Linked DNA regions of Macaca mulatta. The protein of the gene in region 2 purifies or fractionates together with the protein of the main gene of each other region. This does not show direct contact. Links are inferred from orthologs where the notes say so. Each region holds a gene or a part of one and is shown on either strand. Other genes may lie near its edges.

Region 1 (3,816 bases), on a different chromosome or scaffold from region 2:
GTATAAAATCTCTCTGTGTCAGCCAAAAATTGAGATTCAAAGGATTCTTTATACACTGTTAACGTAGGGCCCTTTGCAAATGCATCATCTTCATTCAGCCCCAATTCCACTAGAAATGAATATGAGCTATATTTCAATTACCCTATTTTTTTGGTTATATTTCACAGAATATACTTAGGTGTAGCATTCAGTTTAAGTTATGTTTAAAAGGTAAATGTGAAATGGCAGGACATAAGTAACTCTTACTCACTAGTATTAAAGTACACTCTTTCAATAAAATAAAAAAGGAAAAAAATCCAAGATGTATAAAAAGCAAGTAATTCTGACCCATGGCCAGGTATGCTTCAAAATTATGATGAAGTTCCTTTAGAGAACTTTTATATTTCCAAAGGCAATAAAAATAACTAATTTTAAATTTGCAAAGAAATACAATGCTACCCAAGTTTTTAAGACATTGTATTACTTTATCAGTTTCTCAATCTCAATTTTTCAAGCTGATATAGATTTCTGGTTATCATTGAGCTCACACTCTAACATGTCCAGTAATCCACTACGAGACCAGAAAAGAAAATAATTAAAATGTCTATTTCATCAAAATTTCCTTAAGGCACACGGATCAAACAGCTTTTATGATGGATAAAAACAAAGTCACACTGACTTAAAAAGAAAGAGAAGTACCTTCGTAAATGCTAACAATGTCCTTTATAATATGAAAATATTTTAAAGTGAAATCTGTTAGAGCATTGTCATAATTGCCATTTGATGTGGAAACTTTGAATAAACTAAAGGGAAATTATTTACCGTAAGACTGTACAACTCCACTAATCAATCTTGTATTGATGGTTTCACCATTCCTTTCCTTTTCAATCAGCTTTAAAACAGCATTTGTTACCTTTAGAAAGGATGTAGAAAAATATTACACAGGTTATAGAATATGATATATATTACTACATATCCCTTAAACATTCACAGCCATTAAACAATGTAAGATGGGATAATCCAAAGGAGTGAGCAGACAAAGGCTAAGCAACGAAACTGTGAAGGGATTTTAAAAGGAACACGCACACGCACACGCTTACACCAGTAGGTACCTGTTTATTCAGTGGCCTGAACAGACAGTCTCTCCAAGTCACCAATGCAAGCTGGAGAAAAAAAAAGTACAAAATATCTATACTTTTACTATGTTTTTCCAAGATTGAAGTCATAGGAAATAATCTAAATCTCAAATTACTTCATCAAAATTTCTAGATTACAAGTTGGTCAAAATCTGCTATCATGACGAAATCAGAAAGCCACTCTCTAGAGTCAACAACTTCAAGAGGTATCCAAGCACAGACATTTGTCAGCTCAACTTCTTTATTTATATTTTCTTTAACTGTTGTTGAAAACAGTATAGGAAAAGTTTAAAAACCGTAATTATTTTTAGGAGTCTGTGATGTTACTGTAGGGTACACATTTAGGTCAAGCAGGTTTCCAAAAGGAAATGAACCAAGATCATCCTGATTCCTATACTAACAACTTTTGAGTCTCAAGAAAGCATTTATATGTGAAAAAGAAAAAAAATCCCATTAGCTATTCCACAATACACACATATTTCAAAAAGGCATGGTGTACACATTTTTGTCAGTTAAAAAAATAAACAAAATGTTAAAGGGGAAGCACAAAAACCCCAAATCAAACAACTAAACCTAGAAAGTTTTGTTAGAACCAGACTAACTACATAGCAAAGTATCATTATGAACCAATTAACAATTTTGGTATAGAAACTGGAGTTACACAAACAATAAAAACAAGTCATGCATCTGGGATACATTATGCTTTTCTTTCTTTTCTTTTTTTTCTTTAGACAGGATCTCACTCTGTCCAGTGGTACGATCATGGCTAACTGCACCCTCCACCTCCTGGGCTCAAGCGATCCTCCTACCTCAGCCTCATGTGTGGCTGGGACTATAGGTGCCTCACCATGCCTGGATACATTTTTTTGTACGTCTCATTATGCTGCCCAGGCTGGTCTCCTGTCTCGGTCTCCCAACGTGCTAGGATTACAAGCATGAGCCACTGCAACCAGCATTATGTTTTTCTTTTAAATTTGTCAAAAGTGAAGCTACAAAGTATTGCTATTATAGCAACATTCTTGGATATGGTGATTAACTTCTTTATGTAGAATCTGACATTTTAACAAAACTAGTTTTAAAGGGCATTGCCTGTGTTGATCACGAACAGACTGTTCTGAGTCCTCCCTTAATTGCTCTAGAACACTGGTTCTCAAACTGGAGCATGCATCAGAATTGTCTGGAGAGCTTCTGAGTCCTCCCTTAATTGCTCTAGAACACTGGTCCTCAAACTGGAGCATGCATCAGAATTGTCTGGAGAGCTTGGTAAAACATTGCTGGGCCCCATCTCCAGAGTTTCTCCTTAAGTCTAGGATGAGGCCTAAGAATGTGCATTTCTAACAAGTCCCCAGGTGATGCTGACAGAGCAGGTTTGGGGACGTGATACGGTTTGGCTATGCCCCCAGCCAAATCTCACCTTGAACTATAGCTCCCATAATTCCCACATGTTGCGGGAGGCACTCAGTGGGAGAGAGCTGAATCATGGGGGTGGTTCCCCCACACTGTTCTCATGGTAGTGAATAAGTCTCACGAGATCTGATGGTTTTATAAGGGTTTCTGCTTTCGCTTGGCTCTCATTCTGTCTTGCCTGCCACCATGTAAGATGTGCCTTCTGCCATGATTATGAGGCCTTCCCAGCCACGTGGAACTGTTGAGCCCATTAAACTTTTCTTTATAAATTACCCAGTCTCAGGCAGTTTTTTATCAGAAGTTATGAAAACAGACAAATATGGGACCATACTTTGAAAGCCAATGGACAAAAAAACCCCTTTTGCTGACTGAAGCAACATATATTAATGAGAGTGATTTAGTAATTAATTCAGGGTCCTCTCCCTGAAGCAGGGTTTACCAGGCTATAAAGTATGGGAGGGCTAATCCTCAGGGCTCGCCCTCAGGTATGGCACCTGATTTGCCTGGGACTGCCACGACTCAGGACTTTCAGTGAGAAAACTCAGGCAGTTCCATGCCAATTGTGATGGTAGGGTCAGGTAATTAAAGAAGAAATTTTTAAAAAGCAAATGCAGAAATGGACAAATTGTATTTTAGAACTCCAATTTACCCATTCCTCTACTTTCTTGCTAAAAAATATTTAAGGGACATTTATTGATAAAACAATGAAAATTAGTTTACTACTCTGAAAAAAGCTTAATATTTGCCTAGATTCTCTTACTAAAAGACAATTTATCATTTTAAAAAAACACATTTAAAACAAAACTCTTACTGAATAGATTTCATATATTCCTTTTCGTCCTTCGTCACATTCACGGCGAACCCAATGTCTATTGAGGTAGGCACAAATTCCATTCAGTACTTTGCTTGAAAATCGATAATCTTCCCATTGTTGAGTGTAGAATTTCAGTACACTCTCATCCATCAAATCTTCTCCATCCTAAAAACAAGTTAACTAAAGCTTTAAGATGACTAATTTGTCACATTATAAATTAAAAATAAAAGTGAGTAACATCTACTGTATTAAAATACATTGATACATGTGATTTTAGATGGCTTCTTTAAATTATTCTGTATACAAAAACATGCTAATAAACTCACAAGAATATAGTAAAAACAATTCTTTCATCTCAAATTAAACAGGAACATTTTTCATGGTATTAAATATCCACAAACACTCAAAAAAAGTACCCTGAACATTTGATATGCAGGTAATTCCTTTTTATTAAGAAATTTACCTCAAAATCATCTGTAT
Region 2 (4,462 bases):
TTGGACAGCACCAAGAGAACAACTCCATCATAGGCAAAAGGCCTATTGGACAGTGTTGGTATAAGATGCATGTGAATGTGCGTGTATGCATATATGGTTTAGGAACCCTTACAGAGAAACGAGGATAACTTGTGTGCTGGGCATCATGGTTCACCCCTGTAATCCGAGCACTTTTTGGGAGGCCCAGGCAGGTGGATCACTTAAGCCTAGAAGTACAAGACCAGCCTGGGCAACACAGCAAAACCCTGCCTCTACAAAAATACACACAAACACACACACACACACACACACAATTAGCTGGGCATGGTGACATGCATCTGTGGTCCCATCTACTCAGGAGGCTGAGGTGGGAGGATCGCTTGAGCCTGGAGAAGTTGAGGCTGCAGTGAGCCAAGATCGTTGTCACTGTACTCCAGCCTGAGCGACAGAGTGATACGTTGCCTCAAAAAAAAAAAAAAAAAAAAAGGGTAACTTGTGCTCTGAAGTCAGTTTAGGTTGAAATCCAACGACAGCCATTTACTATGACCTTAGGCAAGATGCCTAAACCTCTTTTGATTTCAGTTTCCCGATCTCTAAAAATGGGCCTAATAATAGTTACCAGCTTGTGCGGTTGTTGTGGGAGCTGAGTGAGATGGTACACAACAAGTGTTAAGAAAGAGTGCGTGGAATTTTTTAGCTCAGTTTTAGTTCTTGAAGCAAAAAGGTTTGCATGCTTAATTTCCTTCAATCCTCAGAGCCTACCGATGGGGAGTTGACTATAACTTCCATGCAGATGAAGCAAAGTCTGAGAGGTGAAGTAACCAGGGCATAGCTAGAGTGTAAATGTTGTGATTCATTCAAATCTACATCACTTGACTGTCTTTTTTCATTCAACAACCTCCTTACCTTGCTTTATTTCTCTCCTTTTCACATGCCTTACTTAGTCTGTCTTCCTCCTTCTAATAGATGTAAGCCCCCGGCGGTCAGGGATTTTTGCGTTTTTTGTTCACGAACCCTATCCCCTAGAACAGTGTTCGGGATAAAGAGGGGCCCAACAGGTCGTATGAATCTGGACACGTCTCAACTTCCCTGAGCCACAGCTCCCTCTCCTCCGAAAATGAGGATAATAAGAAAGCCTACTGCAGAGCTGGTGCAAGATCGGATTGGAGGAGCGACACAAAAGCGCTGTGCAAACCTGGATGTACGGTACGAAAAGAAGCTCTGTTCTAGGTTGCATCCCGCCTAAGCACCGTCAGGGCCGCGCGGCGAGCGTTCAACTTCCCGGGACGCTCTCCTCCCAATCCCTACTCCTGGCCTCCACCCTCCTACCACCCACCACCCACCTCGGGGCGGGGACCGGAAGTGCAGCCACTTCCGCCGGGCGCCGCGGAGCTGAGGGACGCGCGGAGATGAGGGACGCGCGGAGATGACGCAGGCAGCACCGGAAGCCGCTCCCCAGTGAGGCTGTGGACCGGGAGCGGCGGCCGCAGGTCCAGGTCTGTATGCGAGGCGGGGCCGGTCGGGGAGGGGACTTTCAGGCGCCCGCGCCTCTGCTGACCTGCCGCGCCTTGGCTGTTTTTCTCTCCCTGCAGGCGCCATGGCTGCGGAGCGGACCCGGCCGCTGCGAGGCTCTGGCGGCCCGAGCGTGCCTAGTAGCTGTGAACCCGGCTCGAGGTCCCGGGCCCCGGGGTGCTCGCTCAGGTCAGTGCCGCGCGGAACACGGTTCCGAGAGCAAGGGACCTGGGAGCGACGAATGGGTTGATGGGATCTGGATTTTAGAAATGGGAAAACAGGGTTTCGGAGTTACTGCCTCCTACTGCCTCCATTTCCTTAGCTGCAAAATGAGTTAACAGTGATGTCCCAGGGCTACCAAATGTTTGAAAGATGATGAAGTGTGATGAGGTGGTTTATGAAGTACAAAGAGCTGTGCTGCGCCATAATTGTGGGTATGCCGTGAAAACAGGTGTGTGTGGGGGGTGCTGCTTGAAGTAAAGCAAAGATAACAATATTAATGCTGAGTGAAAATGGTAACCGACATTTACTGTAGGCTTACAGCGTGCCGGGTACTGTGCTAAACGCTTTACGTGCACTATCTTGTTTAACCCTCATAAAAGCCCTTGTAGGTAATGCTCTTCGTGGCTGTATTTTACAAGTGAGGAAACAGGGCGTGAGACAGGTGAAGTGTTTTGCCCAAGGTCACCCAGCAACAAGTGGAGTTGCAGAACGCATTTTTATAAACATTTGTATTCTTTCAAAGCTTTAAAAAATTCACCTTAAAACTAAAGGCTGTCTTTTGATAGTATATCATACTTACATGGTTTTCAGTTTTAAAAGGTATACGATAAAAAGGGACCTCTCATTCCTTTTCTCCAGTTCTGTCTGGAGGCAACCAGGGTTGTCAGCTTCTTGAATATTCAGAATACATTTTATGCATATGTAAGTTTATAGGTGTGTATACATTTTCAACGCCTCTGTACTCCTTGATAAGAAAAGAGGGGGAAATGAAGCCTCCTTCCCTCTAACACTAACAATTAGGTTGCTTTCACTCTTGACTAGGCCAGGTTCTGATGGAGGAGGAGGTGGGGAAAACACATTTACACTGTTTTCCAGAAGGTCCTGTCTCTAACACCTTAGAGTATAGGTTTGGGGAGGATGGGTACTGGGCAAAATATTGAGCCTGCTACTTCCTATGCCATTCTGGGAAAGCCACTCCACTTCTTGAGCCATAAATTTCCTTATCATGTTAGTTAAGGGCGGCATTACTGATACCTTCCATGAGGTTATGAAGATCAAATGAGATGTTTACCAGTGGTACTTTTTCTTTAAAACCAATATAAATATGTGAGTTGCCTAAGGTAATATAGGGAGTTAATGGCAGAACCTGAGACCAAACCCGGGCTCTCTTTTTCCAATTTAGGAGTCTTTTTGTTACATGACCCACTTTGTGATTATTGATACTGAATGCAAGAGGGCAAGTTGAATGTTAACTCTGAGGTAGAGGTGTGGGGTAAGGGGGCCAAACAGCAGGGAATGTGGATAGAATAAGGCACCTGCTGGGAAACGAGAGCCTGCAATAAACAGGTGCTCTTTTCTTTTCTTTTTTTTTTTTTTTGAGACGGAGTCTCGATTTGTTGCCCAGGCTGGAGTGCAGTGGCGCGATCTCGGCTCACTGCAAGCTCCGCCTCCCGGGTTCACGCCATTCTCCTACCTCAGCCTCCCAGGTAGCTGGGACTACCGGCGCCCGCTACCACACCCGGCTAATTTTTTTTGTATTTTTAGTAGAGACGGGGTTTCACTGTGTTAGGATGGTCTCGATCTCCTGACCTCGTGATCCGCCCGCCTCGGCCTCCCAAAGTGCTGGGATTACAGGCGTGAGCCACCGTGCCCGGCCAACAGGTGCTCTTAATTATCAAGTTAAACCCCTAGTAAGTTTGAGCCCTTGAGTTTTTCTTCCGGGTATTTTGAAGATAAACTTTGTGGTAAGATGATGGGGTCGAAAGAGATGTTAGTGGTCATGTCCACTGGTCATTCCAGCCTCAGTGTCACAGAAATCTTTCCTGCCAGATATTCATAGTAATAAAACTAGCAAAAAGTACCATTTGAGTTTTTACCCCCTAGACTGTACACTGTGCTAAGCTTGTCCTTGCTATATTTCTAAGTTTCACCCTTCAAGTTGGATGATAGCTTCCATTTTACAGATGATAAAACTGAAGCTTAAAAGTTAGTTGGACATGCCCGTAATCACATAGGAAGTGGTTGAATCAGTAAAACATTTGACCTCCAAAGCATTTTCATGTATCACATTCTGCCTCTGTGTGCAACTGTCCTTGACTGTTCGTGGTAATGGGAAACTAACTACTCTGGAGGGAGCTATTCCATTGTTAGAAAGCGCTGAGATTTAAAAGCTTCTCATGTTGAATTGAAATCCCATTTCCTGAGGTTTGTGCAACCAGTATATGATATTTCTAGAGGCTGCCTAAAAGAGTCCAGTTTAGACTTGTTACCTTAGAAAGCCCCCTCCAAAGTTAGTTGATCCTTTTGGAAAAGTAAAAAATTGGTGTTTTTTAATAATACATTCTGCGGTTAGTGAGACTTGCTTTTTTAGGGGGAAAAAAATGCCTTTTTCAGAATAATCAGAGGTGAACTGCTCAATCCTACAAGGGATTGAGTGGTTTAAAAGGCAATCTAAAAGTTGGGAAAATTTTTTTATTAAGAGTTAGGAGAATATTTAAATCTCAGATATGGCTGAGCTTTTTAGAGGTGCTCTCTGAAAAAGCTTCTTCCATAATCTTTAGCGGTGTCATCGGCACATTAATTTGACTTTTTAAAAAAATTATACTTTAAGTTCTAGGATACTTGTGCACAACGTGTAGGTTTGTTACATAGGTATACATGTGAATTTGGCATGTTATAGTATGTCTCTTAGATATTTGTGAATGATGGGAACCTGATAAGATTTTAATGAGTATTCTAAATTTGCCTT

The links.
Region 1: the proteins of FBXW2 (region 2) and CUL1 purify together in Homo sapiens (affinity purification with western blotting; 13 studies listed by BioGRID and IntAct, with this or other methods). This does not show direct contact. The link is inferred for Macaca mulatta from reciprocal best matches to the Homo sapiens genes FBXW2 and CUL1.

The regions. Positions count from the first base shown.
Region 1 is NC_133408.1:188,577,350-188,581,165, reverse strand, and holds part of CUL1 (cullin-1), read right to left. Parts: intron 3,502-3,816; coding exon 3,334-3,501; intron 1,143-3,333; coding exon 1,092-1,142; intron 893-1,091; coding exon 802-892; intron 110-801; coding exon 1-109. UniProt on the Homo sapiens protein: Core component of multiple cullin-RING-based SCF (SKP1-CUL1-F-box protein) E3 ubiquitin-protein ligase complexes, which mediate the ubiquitination of proteins involved in cell cycle progression, signal transduction and transcription.
Region 2 is NC_133420.1:37,410,513-37,414,974, forward strand, and holds the start of FBXW2 (F-box/WD repeat-containing protein 2), read left to right. Parts: upstream 1-1,416; 5' UTR 1,417-1,475; intron 1,476-1,571; 5' UTR 1,572-1,863; coding exon 1,864-1,942; intron 1,943-4,462. UniProt on the Homo sapiens protein: Substrate-recognition component of the SCF (SKP1-CUL1-F-box protein)-type E3 ubiquitin ligase complex.